Linked DNA regions of Xenopus tropicalis. The main gene of each other region encodes a partner of the protein of the gene in region 2 in a complex. Links are inferred from orthologs where the notes say so. Each region holds a gene or a part of one and is shown on either strand. Other genes may lie near its edges.

Evidence for each region.
Region 1: med8 (region 2) and med4 share a complex: the UniProt entries of both Homo sapiens proteins name them as parts of the mediator complex. The link is inferred for Xenopus tropicalis from reciprocal best matches to the Homo sapiens genes MED8 and MED4.
Region 3: med8 (region 2) and med25 share a complex: the UniProt entries of both Homo sapiens proteins name them as parts of the mediator complex. The link is inferred for Xenopus tropicalis from reciprocal best matches to the Homo sapiens genes MED8 and MED25.
Region 4: med8 (region 2) and med16 share a complex: the UniProt entries of both Homo sapiens proteins name them as parts of the mediator complex. The link is inferred for Xenopus tropicalis from reciprocal best matches to the Homo sapiens genes MED8 and MED16.
Region 5: med8 (region 2) and ccnc share a complex: the UniProt entries of both Homo sapiens proteins name them as parts of the mediator complex. The link is inferred for Xenopus tropicalis from reciprocal best matches to the Homo sapiens genes MED8 and CCNC.
Region 6: med8 (region 2) and med19 share a complex: the UniProt entries of both Homo sapiens proteins name them as parts of the mediator complex. The link is inferred for Xenopus tropicalis from reciprocal best matches to the Homo sapiens genes MED8 and MED19.
Region 7: med8 (region 2) and med20 share a complex: the UniProt entries of both Homo sapiens proteins name them as parts of the mediator complex. The link is inferred for Xenopus tropicalis from reciprocal best matches to the Homo sapiens genes MED8 and MED20.

What each region holds. Positions count from the first base shown.
Region 1 is NC_030678.2:134,871,175-134,874,674, forward strand, and holds part of med4 (mediator of RNA polymerase II transcription subunit 4), read right to left. Parts: intron 3,079-3,500; coding exon 3,021-3,078; intron 1,462-3,020; coding exon 1,375-1,461; intron 1,039-1,374; coding exon 907-1,038; intron 593-906; coding exon 420-592; 3' UTR 1-419. UniProt on the Homo sapiens protein: Component of the Mediator complex, a coactivator involved in the regulated transcription of nearly all RNA polymerase II-dependent genes.
Region 2 is NC_030680.2:88,531,562-88,535,061, forward strand, and holds part of med8 (mediator of RNA polymerase II transcription subunit 8), read right to left. Parts: intron 3,494-3,500; coding exon 3,375-3,493; intron 2,086-3,374; coding exon 1,941-2,085; intron 1,865-1,940; coding exon 1,724-1,864; intron 1,647-1,723; coding exon 1,565-1,646; intron 441-1,564; coding exon 195-440; intron 78-194; coding exon 13-77; 3' UTR 1-12. UniProt on the Homo sapiens protein: Component of the Mediator complex, a coactivator involved in the regulated transcription of nearly all RNA polymerase II-dependent genes.
Region 3 is NC_030683.2:117,450,992-117,454,491, forward strand, and holds part of med25 (mediator of RNA polymerase II transcription subunit 25), read right to left. Parts: coding exon 3,472-3,500; intron 3,184-3,471; coding exon 3,063-3,183; intron 2,189-3,062; coding exon 2,032-2,188; intron 1,646-2,031; coding exon 1,512-1,645; intron 1,154-1,511; coding exon 1,057-1,153; intron 589-1,056; coding exon 347-588; intron 10-346; coding exon 1-9. UniProt on the Homo sapiens protein: Component of the Mediator complex, a coactivator involved in the regulated transcription of nearly all RNA polymerase II-dependent genes.
Region 4 is NC_030677.2:100,791,816-100,796,033, reverse strand, and holds the start of med16 (mediator of RNA polymerase II transcription subunit 16), read right to left. Parts: upstream 2,801-4,218; 5' UTR 2,489-2,800; coding exon 2,353-2,488; intron 786-2,352; coding exon 678-785; intron 490-677; coding exon 320-489; intron 125-319; coding exon 1-124. UniProt on the Homo sapiens protein: Component of the Mediator complex, a coactivator involved in the regulated transcription of nearly all RNA polymerase II-dependent genes.
Region 5 is NC_030681.2:82,030,365-82,034,507, reverse strand, and holds the start of ccnc (cyclin-C), read right to left. Parts: upstream 2,801-4,143; 5' UTR 2,666-2,800; coding exon 2,634-2,665; intron 1,179-2,633; coding exon 1,072-1,178; intron 871-1,071; coding exon 786-870; intron 18-785; coding exon 1-17. UniProt on the Homo sapiens protein: Component of the Mediator complex, a coactivator involved in regulated gene transcription of nearly all RNA polymerase II-dependent genes.
Region 6 is NC_030683.2:55,860,814-55,864,313, forward strand, and holds part of med19 (mediator of RNA polymerase II transcription subunit 19), read left to right. Parts: intron 1-2,496; coding exon 2,497-2,619; intron 2,620-3,500. UniProt on the Homo sapiens protein: Component of the Mediator complex, a coactivator involved in the regulated transcription of nearly all RNA polymerase II-dependent genes.
Region 7 is NC_030678.2:70,770,635-70,774,134, reverse strand, and holds part of med20 (mediator of RNA polymerase II transcription subunit 20), read right to left. Parts: intron 2,622-3,500; coding exon 2,368-2,621; intron 1-2,367. UniProt on the Homo sapiens protein: Component of the Mediator complex, a coactivator involved in the regulated transcription of nearly all RNA polymerase II-dependent genes.

The DNA.
Region 1 (3,500 bases), on a different chromosome or scaffold from region 2:
TTGTACCAAACCCAATAATCAGCGCTTCTCAATGGAACAACAACATTTTGATAGAAAGTAAAAAGCAAATGAAGCAGAAAGCTAGCACATTCAATATACAGCACTGTGCCAAAACACATGCTGGCCTCCCTTTCAGGCACTTCATGGGTTTCACAAATAATGAACTAGGATAGGATAACACATCTTCCTTTAAACAATAAACACTTATAAAAAAAATTATCAAAAATATATATATATATAAACAAATCACAAAAAATACTGGTACAAAATGTCAGTTCAGTATTCCAAGTACTTGACAAAAAAGTCCATGGCTTTCATGACTATGGCAGTCTTCAGTAATTAAAGCCACTTAGGTAACATGCATACACATCTCAGAGCTAGTGGTTGGATTCCAGTGGCTGTGAACTTTCTGCCCTCATTTAATCAGAGTCACTGCTGCTGCTGGATGAGTCTGTGGACATGACCTCAACGTCTTCTTCATTTTCCTTGTTGGGCCCAAGGGATTCCATTAAAAATTCATTACTGTGATTCGGAGGTAGCATGTTCATGGACATGTCATTTGATTGCCATGGGTACTGAGGAGCCAAGACATCTAAAACAAAAAGTGATTTCCCAAAGAGTTTAGTTATTATTTGAACACATTAACTACTAAGGCCCAATACAACAATGATATGAAGCAAATAGGCCAAATGTTTATTACATGCAAGTTGATTTCTTTGTCCCTAAAGGGCTATGGCACAAAGCATTTTCAATGGTGTTACTTATGGCAGCAATCAGAATGCTGTGAGCTTCCCATTTGTGATTTAGCAACATATGGAAAGACTAAAGATGTTTTTTTTAATGTTATATGGATTCCAGGAACTGGGACAAATAAATCATGTGAATTTTTAAGTTCTTTTATATTACCTGGGAGTCGTCCAGCAGCCAGTGCATCTCCAGGCAAATGTCCATTGACTCCATTAGTAGGCAGGTTACTCATCTGACCCAGAAGGCCACTTCTCATTTCCAAATCAGTGGGATAAGGCCTTCGAGGATCACCTTAAATAAAATTGTGCACAGGAAAATCAAATTACAATGGCTAATTTAAAGTTGTGTTAAATAATGGTAAAAATACACCACACATCACTACTTCAACATCATGCTGTAAAATAATTTGTATTTACACACCGCTGTGCAATTAAAGTTTAAAATTTTGCTGGAGTTAACATCAACTTTAGAAAGATTGAGTTTAACTGACTAAGTCCCATTTAATTTTTGTGAAGAAGAGAACACAAACCATGGTCTTTCCTTAGTTGGCCTCTCCACACGTTCTTTTTATTTCTGACTAATAAAGCACATAAACTGGAGTAGTAAACACTGGCAATATGTAATTACCTGGCACCCAAGTCAAAGGAGCACATACAGCATTGCTTGCACTAATCCGATGGGCATACTTAATTAGTTCTTCAGAAGAAATTGCACCTTAAAAACATTTAAAGAAAAAAATGTTAGAACATTTACACTTCTAACCTTTTATTATTTAACTTACTACAATTTGATGACAAGTTAGAATTTTTTTTTACCAAACTGTCAGAACAACTAATAATTTGTTGTACTCCACTATGATAACACTATAGTTTATTGTTCAAAATAAAATAAACTTGTGTGTAGCAATCACAGGAAGTTTACGAGGGCATAAAACAACCAGGTATAGGATCAGTGCAATGTGTCAATCCACGTTGGAGCCAGCGATTAAAGTCCAGGTGACAACATCTGTATCAACACTTGTGATTAAAGAAAACTGTATGGGGTTTGACATACTTTAAATGAACACTAATCCCCATATGTAATAAAAGTTGCTAAGTGCCCAGTAGCGGTAACCCATAGCAACCAATAAGATGTTTTCTTTTCAACAGGTGACCAGTATGCTTAGTATGCTCTGAATTGCTTGTAGGTAAGCTAAGCTAAAAATGTGTGAAAAATTATACTGAGCAGAGCATGTAGTAACATCAGATCCCAGTAAATCTCAGATAAGCCAAAGGTCAGTATTGATATGTTGCTAATCTGTATCGCAGGTCACAGAGCCAGGAAGTGTATTGATTAACATATTACTAAGCATTTTTGCTGAATGTTTATTATATAGGTTTTAAAGATTAAGGCTTTCCTGACCAACCTTGTAAAACTAAACACCTATGAAATACACACGGATCAATCAAGAGGCAAGAAATTATTCTTATTAACTTATTGAAAGTGGAAATTCACTTTTCTACTTTAACCTAAAAAATATCTGCACAGCTTATGAGCTTTCCAATCAAATTAGTCAGGGTTAAAATAGATTTAAAAATGTAGTTTAGAGTTGTGTGCACAAAATGGGGTCCAACTGCTTGGAGGAAAGTGTAAATCACTGATACCCTGGGCCAGTGCTCCTGTTTGCTAAAAACTGCACTGGCCCAGAGTATTTCTGCAAAAGATCCTCATTGCCATCTTATTCGAAGTCTTCCACACTTTGTTCTGGTATGGGCGGGCGTATGTGTAGTAGAGTGAAAGCCAAACTTAGTAACTAAAAGCCAGCTCTTTCACTCTAGTGCACACACTCGTGCTCTGGTGAAAAGGAGAGAGAAGAGGAAGAAAGATTGTGCTGAAGAACCTCTACAGAAATACCCTGGGCTGGTACAGTTTTCTACTAACAGGAGTTTCCTTCTGGTTTAATTCTCCACTACTCAAGCAAATTTAAAGGAGAAGGAAATGTAAACTCACTGGGGAGTGCCAAAATGTTTAAGTTTCAGTTGGGCAAAAATAGATGTATATTCAGGCCCAGACTGGAAATATTTGGATTCATGCAAATCTCAGAGGGGCTGCTGTAAGATGCCAGTCACTATTTGGTGGGCTGGGGAGGGGGGAAGCAGTTTGGAATCTGTGTACTTGAAATGCCAGTGCCTATTTTGAACCTCAGTGGGGGCCTATGTATGTTATATTGTTTTTTAGAATAATTCCTTGTGCAAAACTATGCCATTAGTTTCATGAAAATCTTCCACACTCACCCTTCCTTGCTTTATCTATTGATTTCAGTTTTTCCTTAGCTTGGTAGACAGCTGTTGCCTTAGGATAAAAGAAATAACACAATTTTAATTAAACACACTTTTTACAGTATTCTAATGAATCTAGGTATTCATATATAACAGAATATGAAAAGCATAACTCAGTACATTGAAAATCTAGTACAGGCATGACTGTAAGCTCTATGAGACAAGGACCTCTTGTCTCTGACACTTAGGGCTCTGGCACACGGGGGAGATTAGTCGCCCGCGATTAACTACCTGTTCGCGGGCGACTAATCTCCCCCGTGTGCCAGAGCCCTTAGCTCTTAGTCTGTACTGCAACTGTCCTATGTATTTGTTATTGTAAATACCCCTATTTGTTCTATTCATTTATTGTTCAGTGAAAAGTAGCACTGTATAAATAAAATTATACGAGGCAAAGAGAGGAGGTTAAAATTCCCACCAAGTGCTGAAGGTTGTAGT
Region 2 (3,500 bases):
CAGAACAGGCTTTCATCGCTGATATGGGTGCATTGAGGCAGATTTAATGTTGGTTTTAATACTGCTGGGCATCTTACCTGTTTAATGACATTAAAAGATAATTTACATAAAGGAATGTGGTCAAAGTAAAATGAATACATACAAAAAGAGAATATCCATTACTAAAATAGGTAAACCATGTAAATAGCACCTACCTGGCTGGCTGCCCTGTGACATTGATACTCCAGCCATGTGTTGTTGCTGTTGGTTTGGTGGCAATGACATTGGAACCTGCATACCTGTAGCATTTGGAAGCATGCTGCTGGCTCCTGTCTGTCCTGGAGCCATAGGACCACCTTGTCCTGGTGGGCGACGATTTGAAAGTCCTTTTCCAAATGCCACAGCAGCTACAAGTGCATTTGTGTCGGTAGGATTAAATGTTTGCTTGTTCTGTCTTAAACCTAGATTAAGAAATTACACATGTACAATGTGACCAAAACATGAAGTTACAGAAAAATATAATTCTGTGATACACATTATTTCTACACTACAAGTATGGGATCCATTAGATAGTTTGTAGTCAATAAAGGTGTTAAAGGGATGGGTCACCTTTTGCCGCCTTCTACTGCTTCTTTTCACCTTCAAATGAGGGTCACTGACCCCAGCAGTCAAAAACTATTGCTCGGTGAGGATACAGTTTTATTGTTAATTATTATTACTTATCTCTCCATTCAGCCCCTCTACTATTCATATATCAGCCCAGTAAAGTGTCTGCCAATATTATAAGTGCAGAAGATCAGTGAATAGCTAACTGCAAATTGTTTGCTGTGTGCTAATGGACCAGGGCAAACTTTGTCCATGTTTACATAACTCCATTTTCTCCCTTAAGCTTTGTAAGAAACACATATATGAAATATTTAACACACATATACAATCATTTCATATTTTACATATTGCAGAGAAACATGGCATTAGAGATGCCTTGTTTGACTAATTGTTGATTGGTACTAACCCTAACACAAACCCAACCCGGCCTCCTGGAATTCCCTATATACCTGCACCCAACCTGCTTTTACCGAAGGGGGTGAGCATAGAACAGCGTGAGTATATAAATTAAATGTACCCGTGCCATTTGATTAGGACAGTTTGTTGGTGAAGGCTAGCAAGGAGGAGCAGTGGCAAGGATCCTGACCCCTAGAAACTAAAAGACACCTATCAATCTTAACTGTTTCCCCCACTGAAGGTGTGGCCTAAAAAAACTTGCAAATAATAATATTTCTTTAGGTAAATTCCCACAGAATAGGATATGTTCCCGGTGCTGGCACATAATAAGTGTGCTAGGGCACATCCGCACTACTGCAGTATGTCTGATATTTGCCCAAAGTGTGGACACTGGCTTTAATAAAAAAAAGAACTAGTATAGAGTACTTTATATACTGGTAGATAATTGACATTTTCTTATGAATGCTGATTTAATGCAGAGCACTATTTATATAAACAATTCTCTGGTACTGCACAGAGTCCAGAGAGAACTATAGCAAACTCAACATGTCATAGCAGCTATCAACCCAAACCAAATACTCACTTCCAAGTTCAGACTCCCTCTCTTCTTTGCTAATTTTGTCTAACAGATTGGAACACATTTTGTTCATACTCTGAACTTGTTTCTAGAGAAAATAAAACCAAATCAGCAATATGGACAATGTGGCAAAAACCAATAAAAATGCTTAGAGGGGAACTATACCTGTGCAGCCTCAGAGGTGATACGGGCTGCTTCAGCACTTAGCTGTTTTTCTAGCTCTTCCACATCAGGGTCTGGTTTTGTTCTCAGGTGATCTGGTACCACTTCATGGCTAAATACTGGAACCCTACCTTCTGTCAGACGCTGTAGGCAAGGAAAGGTATGACAGCCAAAGTTTGTACAAGATTTGTCATCAAAAGCAGTTATTTCATAAACTTACCATGATCTCCTCATCTCTGTCCGGAGACAAAAGAAGTGGAATGATGACCTGGTTTCTTAGAAGAGGTGTCTTCTCGTTTTTAAGCACTTTGTTCAGTGTGTTCAATTGCCCAGACAGAAGTGCAAAACTATCAAGTACAGATGGCCTAAAAAAGATATACTAATCAGACAGAAACTGGCACATGTGGCTGAGACACACAAAAACAGGAATAATTCAGTCCATACGAATCCTGCCTTACTGACGGATTTTAGATTAACATTACAATTATTATATATTCTGCATTAGGAGTATAAGGAGATTTAAAATTCGCTTTCCATGGCTGCATAAGCAAACCCGCTGAATCGAAGGAAATGTGCAGTTCCTGTTTTGGTTGTAGAAACAAAAATAAAATAGAAGGCAAAAAAAATTAGACTTTAAAGAGACACATTTTCTGTTGCTTATATGACAAGAATTAAAAAGCAAAAAAAAGATTGTAAGCTTAAAAATCAAGGCCCTATGATACATTTATGCCAATAATTATCACTGTTTGTACTGAATCAAGGATGGGACAAACACTCTGATATTGATTCAGCAGAAAGAAGCCCAAAAGATTCTATTCCCTTTAGAAAAAAATGCAGAATAGTGGAAGTAATAAACACAGAAGCATTTTCAGGCCAAAACTGGCCCCTGACAGGTGGATTCCACTGCTCTCTGCAAACACTTGGGGGACTCAGATTTTATTGGCGTTTCCTTGTTGGTGGGAAAATGTCAGTTTCTGATTGGTACCACAACAGACTCGGTGTTTCCAAGATGGTTTTGTTGATTTATGCTGTTGTCTGGCAATATGCAGCATGGCAAGATCAAGATCACTGACTGCAAAGTAGTTTTATAAGAGACACAGCAGATGAGATTTCAGGTTAGCCGCTGGTCACAGGAGTGGGGGGGGGGGGGGGTGTTGAGGGTTACAACTGGGCTCTAAGCCTTTCCTTCTTAAATTTCACTGGGTATTCAGTTTATGTTGGCCAATAATTTTTTGTGTTCATCAAACAGTGAACTGCCCTACCTGAAAAACCAAACGTTTAACATTAAAATGTGTTTTATTATTGGGTACATTCACCCACAAATTTACTTTTTAACTTGCAGACATTTGCAACTGCTTTTCCAGTGTGATCCAACCATCCCAATCAATGCAGAATCTGTGATTATTTCTGACAGAGGGATTCCAAACCATCTGTGGCTAAATAATATTGGGCATATCTGGCATATGTTGTTATGCCAGATAAAGCACTGTTAGTAGCCTTTGCCAAGTGCTTGCTGTCCAGTGGGAGTATTTGAAATAACTCATGTGCCTCATCTGTAATGTTCTAATTTTGAGGCAAACCTCTCCTTTAACATAGAAAATAGTCTTCACTGCCAAATGTGTTCAATACTTTAAAAATATCTGCTTTAACACACCATGTCAGTCGGTCATACTCATTTTCAAGTTTGTGGATAAAGCCAACCAAAGAGTTTTTGATGTCAGAAACTTGAGATATAAGGGCATCCAGGCAAGCCTCAAGCTGCTTCTCTTCTCTCTGTAGG
Region 3 (3,500 bases), on a different chromosome or scaffold from region 2:
TGTTATGGGCTGTATGAAGACACAAGATAACTGATCAAGAAATCGGCACATAGTAAAAATCATAAAGGTTTATTGCCTCTGAGGAATCAAACTGAAGCCTCAGGCTACAAAGCAGAGCACCGAGGAGCATTTACACTAGAAAAAAAGCAGTTCTCTTTTAGGGAAAAAATACAATAACTTCTGCAGCAATCTGCACTAGTCTTAATCAGATCTGTCACTCAAACATCTAAAATAGAAGGCTCTGACCCAAACAAAGCAATTACATGCAGGTATGATGTCTACACACTTTTCTGGTATGGCTTGGCAAGCAAATGGCAGAAATTCATAAAATCAAAGGCTGCTTTACCATAGATGGCGGAACAGGCTGTTGCTGAGCTCCCTGCTGCTGCAATTGTACAGGCGCTGGTCCAGGACCTGTGGTTACCGTGGTGACAAGACTGGGTTGAGAAGCAGGCGTCATTAAGGATGCAGTGGAAGTAACCATCTTGGGGACTGAGGTATTCTGAGGCATTGCAGGGGGCGGCGGTTGGTTAAATGGAGTACCAACAGCCGATGTAGGTGGCATCTGATTAAGGTTTGGAAGTGGAACTAAAAGTAAAGTAAATAAAATACTTATTGGAGAAAAAAAAAACAAAGTATCACACAGCATAACCACAAGAAACATTGTAAAGTAATAAACAGCCTGGGATTCTGGGCAGCTTCTTCCATAAAATATTCTTTGTCCACATCAGTCATTAAAAAAAAAGTTTCCAAAGAAAGTTCACCTCATGTACAAGTTCTATTTATTAATACTGACAGTTATTTATTGATGTGCATTAAATATCAAGTTTAAATCAGGGAAGCATAAGCTATTTTATCCTGGAGGAATCCAACGTAAGGAGGAGAAGAACCACAAAAGCCATCCTTTTTGAAAGGCACTGCGGCTGAGAACTTACCTAAGGCAGGGGTTAGTGGTTTGGCTAGCACTGGATCAACCACAGGACAAAGGAGCATTTATACAGGCAAAAAAGGCAATTTCTTATCAGCGTATAAAAGGCTGCAGTTTACGTAACTTACAGCGATTTGGGAGGTTATTTTTCTGATTCTTTGCAGCTTCAACCGCAGACTGGGCAGCAGCATGTGCTGTAGTCAAAGTATTCTGCTGAGGAACCTGCTGAGAACAACACAGGTCAGTCTGAACATAACATAATGTTTATTAACCATCTGTTTCCACCCTTCTAATGTAACATGCAATTGCCATAAACTGTGTCCCAGTCCATAAAAGAACATGATGACAAAAATAAAAGCCAAGCTTGTGCATAATACATCTCTCAACCACAGTAAATCCCCCTAAACAATTGGATCTTGTGTACCCAGACCTTCCCTCTTCATGACCAAACTACATTTCAAATAGTCAACTAAAAGGCTAGAAAAGACTTTGTATAACAAACAATTAGTGATCTAACTCCATCGGTTACACTGTATTAATGAAGCCAAGTTCCCAGACACCACACACACGTGGAAATACATACCATATAAGGTGGCTGGACAGGTGGGAGCTGATGCGAAGGGGCATTTGCAATCTGGGGTGGGACAACTGGAAGTGGTGGCTGTGAAATAGGTTGTTTAGGTGGAATGACTCCTGGAACAGATGTAGCTCCTCCTACTGTGTTAGAGAGCCAAAATGAGTAAACATTAAAAACACAAATTATTGACCTGCTGTGTTCCATACTATAGCTATCTACATCTAAAGCTATCTATATATCTGTGTAGGTATGTATTTATGTATATCTATGGTTTCCTTAAAATTTTCTTATATAAGTAGTTTGTGAAATTGCACAGGGCTAGAGACAAAGATATAAGACCTATGGAAATCTGAATGGAAACCAAAACATTATGGTATCCGTTGGTAAAGAAAAAGTGTGTACTAACCAGAATTTGATTTTGGATATAGTTTAGATTTAATTCAATAAGTCAATGGCAATCAACAATCCCTTCTAAAATTCAATGGCATATTTCTGTATAGGCCGATCCATGGCGCACAACACTAACCTGGAAGAACCATTCCGCGTACAAGTATCATGTGCCGAGGGTCCTGGCTGTAGTCTTTAGGCTGTGGCTCGATCAAACCCACTGGCATGGCTTTCTCAAACAGAGTTCGTAATGCTGGCAGTTTGCGCGGGGAAATGACGGAGAAATGGATTCCTCTCTAATAAAAATAAACAAGGCAAATATAGTCCCAGTGGTCATTGGATATGCTTCCATATTCTAAAGTCAACAACAAGAGAATTTTATACCTTATGAGCTGCTGTACAATGTACAATTTAATGCTGGGTGTCCAGTAAATGGAAAATAAGTGACAGAAATATGTTTGATTATCTTAGCACATACCCTTTACAACAATGTTTATTCAGATTTTCATTCTTTCTTCAAAGGACCAGTCATACCAATAAATTAAAATATTACCCTCAAAAAGCTTTTTGATGTGCCTGCACCCAGAGCCACTGTGTCGGGCCTGGTGCAGGCACACTGAGCAGATTTCCCCGCAAAATCAAGCTTTTTGAAGCTTAGGGGTGGATTCTCTGCCTACGTTAATCTGCTGGCCAAGAATTCGCCGCGTGGCCGAGCCATAGGGCACATGTTTTTACAGCAGATTATAAATAAACTGTGTAGAATACAATGGTTTCTGTTCTTACACAGGAAGGTAAACTGGGGACAAATGTCATTTATGGCTCTCTACAGAAAAGAACAAAAAATTTGCTCATGTAAAACTTGTATTTTACTTTTTTACATTACTGATGCTTTAAGCAGAAGGTGTAGTACAACGTTAACCATTTATTATGTTAAAGGGGATGATTACCATTGTTTTTTCGAGCAGATAATGATGAAGCTTACACTTCCTATAATAGTTAAACAGAATTATGGATCTATGATATGGTAAAAGAAAGCAAACATATGCGTCCAAAGAGTATACACAAATGGGGAGAAGGATGATGTAGGAGACAGACTCATAAAGAACAGGGTAACTGGGAACAAAAACAAAGAACACAAATGAGAGCTAAAGTGTTTTTCATGAAACTCACCTCCCCAATTTTCTGTACAAGGTTCTCAGTTGTGTATCCAGAGTAGGTTGTGCTCTCTACAGCAGGCAGTAGATATGGAGGGGAGTTGCAAATCAAGATGCACACCTTGTGAGTTTGCCCACTAACGGAAAAAAAATCATTTGGTGTAATTAAAAAGAGCAGCACCATTACCAATTAAGAATGTGTAGTGCAACTCCTTTATAGGAATTTGTTTCTCTATTACAAGCAGCTGAGCTGCAGTTCTTTTACTGACTTCCTTGTCTTGCATGCAGCTCCACCCCTTATGCTTTCTAGGCCCTCCTTCTCTCTCTCCAACTATAAAGACCTCAAAGAGGTGCCTTAGAGATAGGGCTTACTTTTCCATTAGAATTAACTTACTAAGAACTTTTAGACAGACACAAAAACTCACATCTGTTCCCTCATCTTTTTGAAGTCATC
Region 4 (4,218 bases), on a different chromosome or scaffold from region 2:
ACACTGTAACTAAACCACTGACTGTGACTGCAATCCAACCCTCCATTGGCTTTCCACCAAACAAAGTAAGAGATGGGGAAAACTTCACGCGTGAGAACTTTTCTCCAAAACTGGAAACACCAGACTGCAGGAGAAAAAAGATCAGTATTAAGGGTGGTAAATGCCTACTTAAAGGGAAATAATGGTTAGGGGACAAAAGAAATAATGGTCTCTGCTTAACAACAAAAAGGATAAGCAAAGTGAAGTGAAGTGAAAGAAAAGAGCATACAAACAACTAAATATAAATACTAATGTAAATATTCATTGTTATCTCACCCACCTTCTCAACATGGAGAGCAAGTTTGACTCCATTGTGCAACCAAGACAGAGCTACTATGGGATCTCCATCCACTTCGCTGCCTACAAGACTCTGCCAGCTGTTTGCTAAGTGATCAGTCATTCCCCAGCATTTGATTCGACCATCTGCATCAGCTGAGAGCAGGCGGGAACCTAAAAATACCAATAAAACCAAAGCAACAGTTACAAACACTACTGTCTATGTCCCTTCAAGGATTCATTTTCTGCTTCCCACATTTATCTTGTTTCTTCATATTTCCCTTTGCTCTCTGCCCTTCCCTTTTAAGTTATATGGTTTTCTTGTTTATTATCAAAAAGCCCAGCAATTTGTTTTACTGTACCAGATTGGTCCCACTCCAAGCTGGTAATAACTTCCTGGTGCCCAGAGTTAATAGAGTAGACATCCCACGGATGTTCTGTGTCGAGGATATGGATCAAATTAGTGATATCTGAGAAGAAAAAAAATCAAGTTATTTCAGATTTATCCATATTCCTGTAAAAACACTTTTTAATTTATCAAAACCCTGGAAAACAAACAATCTGGTGAGAATTATGCAATGTTGCAACTCTCCATGGTCAAATTATACTTGCTTTAACGAATAAGAATATATTCAATGAGAGCATAAAATATATACTTAAATTTGTGCATTGTAAAACGCCTGATTTTGAGTACAGTTGAACTTTTTAGAAAGATAATAGAAGACAGATGAACTCTTTGCACTTCAATGTAAATTTCATAAGGTAAATGAATGGGGGTGGGAAGGAGGGCTAACTACAGCCAATTGTTTAGCATTTTTTCAGTAACAAGCACTTTTCTTACAGCTCACACGACCCAACTATTGTGAGAGAATACACACTTCTTCACTTAACATTCTAGTAGGCAGCTCTGGACTGAGATTTAAAATAGGCCCTAGCATTTTCAGCACACAAAAGCTCAAATAGCCCCCAACTAGCGCTCTACTACACAGTCACTGTCTATGGCATCTTTCAGCAGTCCCTCTGGCATTTGCCAGAACCCACAGACTGGCAGTCTGAGCCTGCTGGCAGGGATTATTTACTAAGGGGGGGTAAGGTGCAGAATTTTTTTTCCCCACAATACAAAGTGGCACAGAATGACATTAAATAAAAAGTAGAATTTATTGCAGTAACACATTCCTGGGTCTGAATTTGTGCACCTAGGTCTCAAGCTGCCACGCTTCCACTACAAGCAATACTTTCTATTTTTATATTGGTGCAAGGCATTGTGTCTCAACCCTTTCTCCTTGTAGATTGTAAGCTCTTTTGGGCAGGGCCCTCTTCACCTCTTGTATCGGTTATTGATTGCTTTATATGTTACTCTGTATGTCCAATGTATGTAACCCACTTATTGTACATCGCTGCAGAATATGTTGGCGCTTTATAAATAAATGTTAATGTAATGTAAAAGGCATTGCCTAACCGTAATGTGTATGCCTATAGATTCAGATGCTTTAATTTTTTATCTGCGTCTATGCATCTATCTGCATTCTATGCATTCTAGTGACCCAAATACCCTTAATATACTAACCTAGTTCATTTTAAACATGGTAATATAAAAATGTAATCCAAGCAATCCAAGCTCTTTGGTAAGACCAGCTTTGGACTGGGAACCCAGGGACCCACAAGAAAACCTTAGACCCACTTTCCAAATTATTTGTCCTCCTTCCCCACCCAACCACTTTATTCTCCAAGTCTCTTTTATTTACATAGCATCTATTCTTCCATCTAATTCTTGACTTTCTTCCCATTCAGAAATAGGGAATGACCATGAAACAGGCCAAATGATCAGGAGCAGGAGACTGACACCTGGGCCCACCATGAGTTCTCCTGGTATCCAGTCCAACACTGGGTAAGACTCATTTTGGTTTGTCTTTTAATTGTTTTATGCATTATAGATAGAGAGAGAAAAGTAGACATATAACAGTTACTAAATAATAGAAATACACACACATATAATCACACTCACAGAGCGGTGCTGTAATAACAAAAAGATGTTACCTTTCTCCTCCTCATTGCGCTGATCTGTAGTGAAAGCAATAAGATTGCGGCAAGACCAAGCGCAAACTAGTGGGATTGATGGGCAGTGACTGGTCCGTGGTCTTTTGTCCCACTCACATACGTACCCCACATCCATGCTGACAGCAAACACGCACCTACTAACTATGGGAGAAGGGCTACAGATCGGGGGAACAGAAACACAATGGCTTACATTGGGAATGGACTGACTGACTGCAGCTATAAGAAACGAAGGCGGACGACAAGAAGCGTCAAAAAGCGAAAATATGCTAGAACCTTGCGTAGGGGATTTGCTACTAAACTGCTCTGGTTACTGCTGGTTCCAGAATCCCGTAGGATAACAAGGTTCTACGTAAAACCAGTAATGAAAGTTCCCGGCTACATTAGTGCGTCTCACGGAATAAGCGTCTCAATGTCGCTTTCCGATGGCGTCATCCTTAGATTAGCATGCCGACCTCTCCCGGCGTGCATCGTGGCAAATGCCTAAATTGCAGCTATAAATTCAATCTTTCTCTTCTGTTTTTCATGTACCCAGTAAATAAAACAATATCAAGTAATATTTATTGCTGCTCGGTGTAAATATACATATAGACATACAAAATTGTCACTCCAATATAACCGAATCAAAAGCTAGGGGCTTTAAATAAGAACCGGCGCTAAGGTATGTTTGTGCTCGCTTCGGCAGCACATATACTAAAATTGGAACGATACAGAGAAGATTAGCATGGCCCCTGCGCAAGGATGACACGCAAATTCGTGAAGCGTTCCATATTTTGCACTTATCTTATCAAATGGATATTGGAGTGAAAAACAAACCATGTATATTTATATATATATATATGTATTTAGTTTGTTTTTCACTCCAGATGAAGGCTTCTGTGTGAGACCCAATCGTTGAGTAATAAACCTTTCTATTTTTACATTTACATTTTGCTCACACTTTACTTTGGAAATAAATGTAATTTGGGACTATTTTAATTTAATATATATATATTCTCCACTCATCTAATAAAAAATGTGTATTTGTGAACAGTGTGTGTGTTTGTGTATATATATATATATATATATATATATAGATTTACACACACACAGGATTATGATTTAAAAACTAAAAATCTTTAGTTCCCCCCTTTATTATGCTGTGAAGATGGTTTCTTCCTACAGTCAGTGGTGTAACTATAGAGGAAGCAGACACCATGGTTGGGGGGGGGGCACCAGGGGCAGCCTGGACCATAGGGTCTGGTTCCTCTATAGCAGGGGTGGGCAAACTATGGCCCGCTGTCTCCGGCCCCCTTAAAAGAATGACGGGCCCTGATTGGTTGCGCCCCATGCATGCGCATAGCGTCAGCACACACGGGGCGCAACCATATAAAAGAATGCACTGGGGAGCCGGGGAACAGAAGGACGGGACGGAGGAAGCAGCGGGTCGCTGGCGGAGGGAGCCGCAGGTCATGAAGGATGCTGGGGGGGAGCTGAGAGGCCCCATAATTTTTGATGGCAGCCCCGGGCGTAACGCTGTCCCGGCCCGGTCCGGCCCGTCTGTTAGTCAATGTGGCCCCTGACCCAAAAAGTTTGCCCACCCCTGCTCTATAGTCACTCTCATTGATAAAGTTAAGGGTGCCCGCTGCTTAATATTTGCCAGGGTGGTGGCCAGGTACCTGTGTGCGCCAGACCCCTCCAAAAAATGATTGTGGAAATGTGAAATATGGCAAAATCAGGGAATGTAAAAGTGAGATTTCACTGTGTCTCATCCCACTTGTTGTGGGATGAGATACACAGTGTATCTACAAAGAAGTCAATGGAGATATTGAGCAGACCATGGGTTGTAAAAATCCCTTGCAGGGCCAC
Region 5 (4,143 bases), on a different chromosome or scaffold from region 2:
TACTTTTTAAAGAATACCTAATATGAAAAACAAAAAAATTATATCAACAAAACATAAGTGCATAAAGGCCATACCATAGAGTAACAATTCCATTTAAATTGAAAAGTTGGATCTGTAAACATTAAATGTAAAACAATACATACAAGATACAGCACAGCTTTATAGCAACAACGTGATCTAAAATATAAGAAAAATTTTGTCAAAATCTTAGTCTTAACCTCGTTTCGTACGATATTCAGTGCGTGTATGGCATGTCGGTGAGTCGACAGATATCGCAGGAAGCTGCTGATATCTGTCGACTCGCCGATCGGACCAGTTAAAAGATTTTGATCGGGCGCCATAGAAGGCGCCTGACCAAAATCTGCCGTCAGGGCTGAATCAGCAGAAGGAGGTAGAAATCCTATTGTTTCTACCTCCTTATCTGCTGTTTCAGCCCCAACGGTGTGGTCCGATGGTCGCACTAAACATCGTCAGATCGCCACGTGTGTCGCCACCTTTAATAGGGCACATTCACCTACCTAGACGAAGTATATGTTTACTAAATGTTCAGTCATTAGCCTGTACTTTTCCAGTCTATGATTACACTCAAATAATATGCACTGCCTGAGGAAAGTCTGGGCTTAACTATCACAGAAAGACACTACGGTGTAGTGGTAAGCCACAGCTGGATTGTGACATTTTAACACTCATACACCACTAATTTTGCTTAGTGCTGCTGGCACTGGATAGGGCATTACCATAAAACCAAAAACACATACAAGTCCTTTCCCTCTCAGCAAACTCACCTGGCATAAAATCTTTTAAAATAAACAGTGGCAGTGGCAATGACTTGTTGTCGTAATTTAAGGTGTTCTCCTAAAGCTTGGATAACTGCAAAGGAAAGAAAATAAGATGAATGTTTAATGTAAATGAGTATGTGTTTCATGCGAATGTAGCAAGAGAAACAAACAGTGTGGGGGCTATTGAGTGGGTTGCATCCCAATAACAATCTATATTCAGAAGTAACATAGCACAATAAAAATATTGCACCTATAATAAAATACCAGGTTTCTAAAAGAAACATGCGATTACCATTTGTAAAAAATATCTGCAATTTCCAATATTCTTCTTCACTTAAAAATTTTAGGTCTTTTTGTCGTTCTTTTAATAAGTCTTGTTTGTCCAAAATCCATTGCAAACTAAAATAAATTAAAAAAAAAAAAAATTAGAAAAATATATCATTTCAATTCTTTTGCACTGCTATTTTGTCAAATTCTTATTAGTCCATAGAGCACATTCACTTACCTAGATGAAGTGGGCCAAGTGCAATTTTGCGCACAATCTCCATGTTTCAGCCAACCGTAGTTTCATGTATTGGCCAAGTCTAAAGCTGGCCATACACGCACCGATAATATCGTACGAAACCTCGTTTCGTACGATATTCGGTGTGTGTATGGCAAATCGGCGAGTCGACCGATATCGCAGGAGGTTGCCGATATCGGTCGACTCGCCGACCGGGCAAGTTAAAAGATTTTGATCGGGCGCGATAGAAGGCGCCTGACCAAAATCTGCCTTCAGCGCTGAATCGGCAGAAGGAGGTAGAAATCCTATTGTTTCTACCTCCTTATCTGCCGTTTCAGCCCTGAACGGTGTGCGACCGATGGTTGCATGAAAGATCGCAAATCGCCACCTTAAGGGCTGGGCTCGGATCGTAAAAAGTCATCCAACCCCTTCTTAAAGGGGTGGTTCACCTTTAAGTTAACTTTTAGTATGTTACGGAATGACCAATTCTAACTAACTCTTTCTTCTTCCAACTCTTTGCAGACCCCAGCAACACAAAAACTAATGCTCTGTGAGGCAGTTTTATAGTTGTTAGTTTTTGTAGCTTTTTTTTTTTTCAATTTGTGCCCTCTCCTATTCATTTAACAGTCTCTCATCCAAACAGCTCCCTGGTTACTAAGGTAACTAGCAACCAAATAGCTGCTGAAACTCCATACTGGAGAGCTCCTGAAATGAAAATGAAATAACTAAAAAAAGCTACAATAAATGAAGACCAATTGCAAACTGTCTCCAAATATCACTCTCTAAATCATATTAAAAGCTAACTCAAAGGTGACCAACCCCTTTAAATGTACTTACTGATGTAAAATACGAATGTCTCCTTTAATATTTCAGTGACCTTGTAATAACCATTTTGATGTCTTAATGGCAAAAATGACCTACCTGAGGTCCCCAGGCATTTAGTGGAACTTCAGCTCCCAGCATTCTCCTGATAGTTATCAGTGGATGTGCAACAGTGCAACAGATGGAGGGCTTTGTTTTGTGCTTATAAGCAAAGCCATGGAACTGATCAAATGCTGGACCTGGACCTCATTTGCAATGAGTTATTCTGCATTTCAGACTGTATATTGCTAACACAACAACTTGCACTTTATTAAAAGGGTTATTATAGGGCTACAGCAAATACAAAAAGGCCTGTACTTCACTACAGGCAAAGAAATTCACAATTTGCAAGTCTCAAAACACTGGTATACTGAGAACGGCAAGGCAGCAGGTTAGAATCTTTTCCGCTCATAGTGAAGTGCTAGGGAATTTTAAAGATGGCGACAGCTCAGCCTACTACCTATAGACAAAACAAATAAAACAACGCTTACTAGTGAGAGCTCTGCCAAAAGTTCCCCGCCATCAATGAGCCAAACGAACACCGCCTAAGGATGAGCGGACCGCTGCTTGTGACGCTGCCAAGAACGTCACAACAACCCACAGCTAGCGTCTATAAAGCCGAAATGTAGAGATTCCAGGAAGAAGACCCAGTGTGCAACGCTGATATGTCCCGGGTGGAAACACACACCAGCACGGAACTCAGTCTGCCTCTAGTTGTGAATAAAAGAAGTATGCGTTAACAAACATACGTATACATTTCAATGATTTCAAATCTGTTTTTTGGTTATAGTTTTACATTTTTGTGTCTTCACAAGGAACGCACAAATTCTCACTGCTTATGTTTTCTGTAAAAAAACATTTCTCAACTTTTATAAAGACTGTGTTCACCATGTCTTTTCTTCTTTTTATATTGACTTATATTAAAGTGGAAAGAATTAGCCAATTTGGAAAATAATGCATGACTATGACACACAGGTTGATTATTCTGCAAAAAATTTGCACTCCATCTGTCCAACATAAAAATACTAATAGCAGAAATTCCCATCAGTTAGTGGGCCCAAAGGAATGCAACAGGGTTATTTGGCCAGGTGTAGGCCATAATCGGATAAATGGCAGGTTGGCCTATGTGTTGCCACCTTTTGCATTATTAGGCTGATGTCAGATGTGGTGTATTCTCAGCAAGCCGGAAAACGCTTGCCTAGAATACGCCCTCCACCTCCTACCTGTGCCTGCACCAGAGCGTAGCTGGTAGTAGGCAGAGGGCGTATTCTCGGCAAGCGTTTTTCGACTTGCCGAGAATATGCCACGTCTGACATCAGCCTTAGGCTAATGCCAGACAAGGCATAGGGCGTATATTTTCGGCAAGCAGAAAAATGCATCCTGAAAATACCGCCCTACGCCTCCTACTTGTGCCTGCACCCGAATGAATGGAATATGCTTGGGTTCAGGCACATGTAGCCGAAATACACATAAAAACTTGAGAGAATGCAAAGTCTTGCGTTTTTATGCGGTATTTTCAGCAAGCGTTTTTCCGGACTACCAATTGGACTACCAATTGTAGAGCAGACTGGTCCCTTAGAAAATTGTAAAAGAATAAATGGGAAAAAAAGAGAAAAGGATTTGTACGTAGCATGGGACATGCAGAAATATAGCAGAAGCAGAATATGTATAACGAGATTAGACAGCAGATATATAGTTATCTGATTTTTCACTGGGATTACTTCAATAAACACAAGTAAACTGAACATTTTATTCAAACTGTTTTGCATTCAGTTGAATGCATTGCTTTACTTGTGTTTTCATAAGACAAATACCCACATAAAAATATAACTTGTATATCATTTTACACAGTTATTCGTTTTTTGTAATAAACCTGCCTTTTACCTGGATCCCAACATGACATTTGTGTATGGGTTAAACAAGTGAAAACAGAATTGCTTGGTTAACCTCAATGAATGCTGAGGGACTGGGACCAGTATATAGAAGGAACCTCCTCTCCAT
Region 6 (3,500 bases), on a different chromosome or scaffold from region 2:
GTCGTACTGGCTGATACATTATATAGCTTTAAGAAGGGGCTGGATGGATTCTTAGCAAGTGAGGGAATACACGGTTATGGGAGATAGCTCTTAGTACAAGTTGATCCAGGGACTGGTCCGATTGCCATCTTGGAGTCAGGAAGGAATTTTTTCCCCTCTGAGGCAAATTAGAGAGGTTTCAGATGGGGTTTTTTGCCTTCCTCTGGATCAACTTGTAGTTAGGCAGGTTAGGTATAGGCATTATGGTTGAACTTGATGGACGTATGTCTTTTTTCAACCCAACTTACTATGTTACTATGTTACATGCTTCTGGTTAAGGTTGGGTCATCTTTGAGGTGAAGGAAAAATATCAGTGCGACTGGCTCTTCCAGGGGGATTAGATTAAAATGGACCATCAGAACAGGCTTAGTTGGGAGTGAGGAGTATATCAGGAGTAAATGGCGATTACATTTTGTTGCTGCCGACAATTATTTGTAATGAACTTAATTTTGAAAAAAATCTTTTTATTCTTCTTAACTGTAAACTTTGCTCAGTAGAAAGCCTAAGATACACAACACTTTTACTGGTGGCAGTTATCTTTTAACAGTATACAAGTGCCAACTTGATTTTAAATGCCCAAATACATATAGCAAGGTACATGTTTATGCCCCAGAACATGTAGCAGTGCCAGCTTGATGTCAAATGACTCCAGATATAAAGCATTATGTATAATAAGTGCCAACCTCATGTTTAATGAGAAAAGTGTTTTAGTACTTTTTGCTTCCCTGTATACAGCTCACCTTTCCACCCTCTTCCAAGAATCTGACACCTATCACTGGCAGCAAATTTACAGCAGCCCTTCGATCATCCAGTGTGGCAGTCTTGGTAACTGCTGCTCAGATTGCAGGACTATTTCTAAACCAATGGGATCCTGCACCGGGATCTCGCTCCCAGTGGGTTCAGCCTAGTGCTGGGGCTATTTTTTATTTTTTTTTCAAGAAGCCCCCATACCACCTTGTTTTGGGATTGATGTATAAAGGCTTATAACAACTAAACTATCTAATATAACTGTCATGGTGTTATTGATGTACCACAGTTCAGCCAGAAAATCCCCCTCTATCTTTAAAGCAGAAGGAAAGGTAAAATCATTGGAGGGGTTCTAAAATGTTAGGCACACCCCCAGTGATTGTAATCGCTTGCCTTATACCCCGGAGTGGTGCACCTATTAGAAGAAGAAAGAGGATCACTCTCACAACTACCCAGGGCTGGGGTATAAGGTAAGCGATTACAATCACGGGGGGGGGGGGTGGTGCCTAACATTTTAGAACCCCTCCAATGATTGTACCTTTCCTTCTCCTTTAAAGAGATATGGACACCAGAAATGTAACTGTTTTTTTTTTTTATATATATCATAACCGTGTCTTTGCATGCCATTTATCATTTTGCCCTACAAGTATTTGCCCACTGCTTTTATATTATCTAATCCCCCATGTTCCTCTATGAGGGGGCTGCCTTATTTCTGCAGCAGGAGTTCGTTGGCACTAGAAGCTATAACTGACAGGCTGAGAAGGGACAGTCAGGTTTGCAAAACAGTCAGGTTAAGGGACTTCAAATAGCAATTATTAACAAAAGCGGCCCTATCAGTGAAAAATGATCAACATGACCTATAGGTAACTTTTTATGTACATTCATATTTTAAAAAGTAGTTTTTTTTTGTGTGTCAGTATCACTTTAATATATGACTGTAAAGATATTGTAACTATTGGATTTAGACTGGATTTTGGTTTATGTAATAAAACTACATTTTTTTTTCTCACACAATTTATTAAATGCATTGTTATTTGAGGAAATGGGGAGACAACTAGTGGGGACCATATTACTGCATTAATGGATTAAAAACTTTACAACTGGGGGGGGGCGGGGGGTTGTTGAACAAGGATTATGACCTGTATGTTTTACTTTGTTTATTTTGCATGAAACTATTTAGATGCAGACATACCTAATTCTACAGATTTGATATTTGTAAAAAACTATTTCCTAACTCTGTTAGACTCGCATTGTAATGCAGTTCCTTCCTAAACCTGTTTCATAGTGAAGTGATATTGGGATTTGAAATCCTTCTGCTTTCCAGAGAATCTGTGCAACCACTGTTTCTTAAGCCCCGGAATTTATCACTTCACAATGAAACAAGGTAAAGGATGGGTTAGTAAATGTATCTGTAATGCATTTTGCCCCTTGGGGCTTTATCAACTGGATTAATTAGCCTACAACAGCTGCCCAGACGTTGACTAGATCTGCTTTAATTTTTGTTTTTTTTGGGGGTTTTTTTTTTTTTTTACTCGTAAGAGCAAACCCTGTCAAGGGTGGCTATATATAGAACTTTTATAAAATTTTGACCCACCTCCAGAATGTAATTCTAATCTGTTAGGTACACTGATTTTGAAAATAAATTGGCAGCAATATTTTTTTCTCAGTTTTGTGTGTAAATATTTAAAGTTGTGTCTGTTTATTCCTCAGGACTTTCAGATCTCACTGGCAGTGTCAATCTTATCTTGCACTACAACTTGGAACATTCCTTCAGTAAATTCTGTGGAAAAAAAATGAAAGAGAAACTCAGCAACTTTCTTCCAGATCTGCCAGGTAAAAAAAAAAGGGAGGTGGTATTAGCCTTTTTAACATGTTTTTACAGCTGACCATTGAAAAAGAAAACAAAAAGGCATTTAGAATAAGTAGCTTTGTGGAAGTTAAATGGTGATGAAGGGATAAAAGGAGATTTTTGCCTAGTTTATGTTAACAAAGCCTTGTTTGATGCAACATACACAGTTATAATTCTGTTTACAGTACAACTCACCCACTCCTGACTGGGCTAGCAGCTAATTTTATTGTTTCAATTACATTAAAAAACACATATTTATAAAGCCCCAACATGTTCCACAGAACTATACATTAAAGGGGGTGGTGTATACAGTGAACACACAGATTACATCAAAAAAAGAACAACCAAAGCTCAATACAAGAGTTAGTGGGCCCTGCTTAACATCAGCTATTGCATCCAGACCCACCTGATAGGGACACTGATGGCTCAGCCCAACCTAGTCATTATTTGACACAGGATATGGTACAACCCTCTGTATTAATACAATTTGGAGGCTCAAAACCCTATTCTTATTACTAGATTTAAAGTCACAGCCTATTCACAGTATCAATCCAAACTATAAAGGGAGTTTGCGAACAAACTTCATGTTGAATGAAATCTGATCTGTTGTTGGCTCGGCCCACTTTTTCTAACCTTGGACCACAGTTATATAGTAAGAGCCACTGTGCAAAGTTTTGTAATAGTGTCTGAATAGCAGCAAATTAAATTTCCCACTGAAAGTCAATGAGTCACATCTGATTGGCTGTTGGTGGCTCCGCCCACTTTTTAACCTGGAACTGCAGTTACCCAGTGACTAACTATGCAGAGTTTAGGGACCCTAGTATTAATAGTTAAAGAACGGCAGCAGTTTAAATTTAAACCGATA
Region 7 (3,500 bases), on a different chromosome or scaffold from region 2:
TCATCAGAATGTGTCTTTTCCAAAAACATATGGTTTTCTGGGGGTCTCTGTACAGTTAGCGGGTCTTATGGCACATAATACACTGTCAGGGTGCTCTGTTGCTGGCAGGTGATAAATCCATACGCACTATTCATTTTGGGGTCCGTACATACCACAGACTTTGGTATATCTATGCATATTGGGCATCAAACTGTTCAGTAGACCTCTGGTGTGTGTTATATTTAGTCATATTTGGGGTGATTTGCCTTTGTATGCAAGAAACTGTGTGAGATAAATGTGACAAATTGCAACATTTTTTGGTGTAGGAAGGACTCTTTACCCATGCTGGATATTTTCAGGGGTCGCTGTACATTTAGGGGGTCTACAACACATAATACGCAACAGGGGATCTTATTTTCAGAAACTGAGTTGGTAGCTGAGAAAATTCATGTGCATATTTTCATTTGGGTTCCTCTGTACACCTCATAATTTGGTAAATCTATGCATATTGGCCTCAAACTGTTCAGTAGACCTCTGATATTCATATTTGGGGTGATTTTCTTTTGTCAGAAAAATGCTAACTTTAGAAAAGCTTTACAGATTAGTACTTTGGTGTAGAAAGGCCTCTTTAACCATGTTAGATCCATCAGAATATGTACTTTCCAGGAATATATGGTTTTCTGTGGGTCTCTGTACATTTAGGGGGTCTTACTTCACATAATACACAAGCAGTTAGTCGAAGCAGAGTCAGCACCCGAGAAAATTCATATGCACTAATAAAAAATCTTTTGGCTCTAACCAGCATTTATAATAAAAGGCACTAAGTTTGTAAAGAAGCAAACACTAACTAACAGCAGCCAATAAGATGTTTCCTTAAGGGTGAAGACACATGGAGCTACTTAGCAGCAGCTACTTTCCATGGCTTCTAAACACCAGAAAATACCCTGCCATAGGCAATACTGTGAAATTAAAATACATGTAGTAAATGATCAGCATTTTAGTAGCCACGACAAGTACCTGCTACTAGTAGCTCCGTGTGTCTTCACCCTTAGACTAGGTAACCAGTAAATGCTACCTGCTGATTGGTTGCTAAGGGTTATTGCTCCTAGGAAAACTTACTGACTTTTATTACATAATCCCCTCAAAGCACAGTTCAGTGTGAAAATGAAACTGGGTAAAATAGACCATTAAATAAAAAATATTTCTAATATAGTTAGGCTAAAGTGAGCAGATGTCTAACATAATAGACAGAACACTACTTCCTGCTTTCAGCTCTCTAACCTAAAAATGTCCCAAACACTTTATTGCTTAAAAGACATATGTAAGCAAAGTGAAATACCATTACAAATGTTGTAAATAGAAATGTCTGAAAAAATGTAAATAAACAAATGTTTAAACAACAATGTTAAAAAAAAAAAAAAAAATTAACAGAACCATTATGTCCCATATGGCCCTCCCTAAAGTTGCTGATTGGTTACTGACTGCTAACAGCTTAGAGAGCTGTAAAGGAGAAAGTAGTGTTCTGGCTAACTATATTGAAAACATTCTTTACTTTGCGCATTGGTACAAGGATAAGGAAGGTACCCAAACCCATACTTTCCCAACTTAATGTTCACCCATGCCTCTTGCAAAACCCATTTTTTCCATGTTTTTTTCCCTTCAAGAACACAGCTGCCATCTTGGATCTGCATATGCACTGTCCGCTAACCCACAAAACATGACCATCTCCTGTGCTTGCATGTGATCGTTATGTCATGACAAAAGAAGGGAATGCTGGATAGTTTTGCAAATGCAAACCTGCAATCATCTTCTGCGCAATTTGAAAGCACAAACCTAACCCCAGTATCCAAGTGATGGCTTCTACTCTTAAAATATGATCAGTTTATATCAGAGCTGCAGGTGATCAGCAGAACAATGGGAAGTTAGCAAGTAAACAGCTCCCTGACACCTGTATTGCTAAAAGTGGCAGATAGAATAGCACTCAATAGTGAAAAAAGTCTGGCTCATGACTTCTGTAGTTCAAGCTCCTCCAATTACATGGAAGTAGGAGAAACATTAGGTTACCTGAAAGCAGGTCTAATGTGTAGCGCTGGCTCCTTCTTAAAGCTCATCGCAGGAACATGCACTGACATGGCTGCCTACACATCAATATGACAACTAAAATACATTTGTTCTTTGAAGAATACAATTTTAAATAGTAGAGTGAATTATTTGCTATGTAAACCAGTCATTTGGAAATAAAAAGTACACCATCAAAATCGTGACAGAATCAAGGATTTAAGGATCATTTTCTTATACTATTCTATATTTATTATGCATAAAAATATCATAATATGAAGTGCTGTTCATTAATATTGAAAATATCTAGGTGTCTTGTCACATATTTACCTCTACAGTGATTCCACGACCACTCTGTCCCACTGTTACCGTGCCAATCTTGACTAAGAAGTCACAGTACTGGTAACGCGTGCCACGTGTTTCCATCTTGTTGGCTTTCGCATTCTGGAAGAATCCCTTAAGCTTTACCATAAGCACATCCAGGTTTAGGTCAGCAACTAGACATGGACCATTCTCAAATAATGCAAATGTACTGAGAGGGTACTCTGAATTGTGCATAACATAGAGGAGCTTCCCAGCCTGACCTGAAATTTAGAGCATATAAATGCAAATACTCTTTAATTTAGGAATATACAACATGGCAATTTTGGATGAGAACTGTGAAAGGTTGCCTACAAATGAAGAAATGAACAGAGACAGAGAGCATATAAAAGAACATTAAATTGTATCTCTACTATATTACAAAATGTAAGTATTCCAGAACCAAGCATATATCTATATGGAATTTGTGTGCTCTATCAAAAATTACTTTCTCTAAAACAATGCTATTTTAACCAGGATAACTTTATCATTTTCAAACAGACCATACATACAAGTTCCTTTTACAATATCCCTTTAATCAAACAATCCAACTTTCATAAAATGATTCTGATCTAGGCCAAACAGAGCCTTTTACATGTTTACCATACTTATTGCATTTATTCCTATTCACTGCAGAAATTTGAGATGTGGGAACATTATTTCACACATGATGGACTTGTTTGATAGCCCAGACTACAGTAACGTGTAGTATTTTCACAGGTGACATGACACGATCATTTGAAGTAAGCGTTTTGGAATGGTGGGGCTAGATGGCTCCATCCAGAACATAGGGATAGCTAACATATTTTCCCTGCAAAATGTTTAAAACATATTCCACATAGTTCAATCTTGCCAAACCTTATACAGGTATGGGACATGTTATCCAGAATGCTCAGGACCTGGGGTTTTCCGGATAAGGGATCTTTCCGTAATTTGGATCTCCAAAACTTAAGTCTGCTAAAAATTATTTAAATATTGAATAATCCCAATAGACTTTTTTGCCTCCAATAAGGATTAATTACAGTATATCTTAGTTGGGATTAAGTACAAGGTACTGTTTTATTATTACAGAGAAAAAGGAGATCATTTTTAAAAATTAGAAT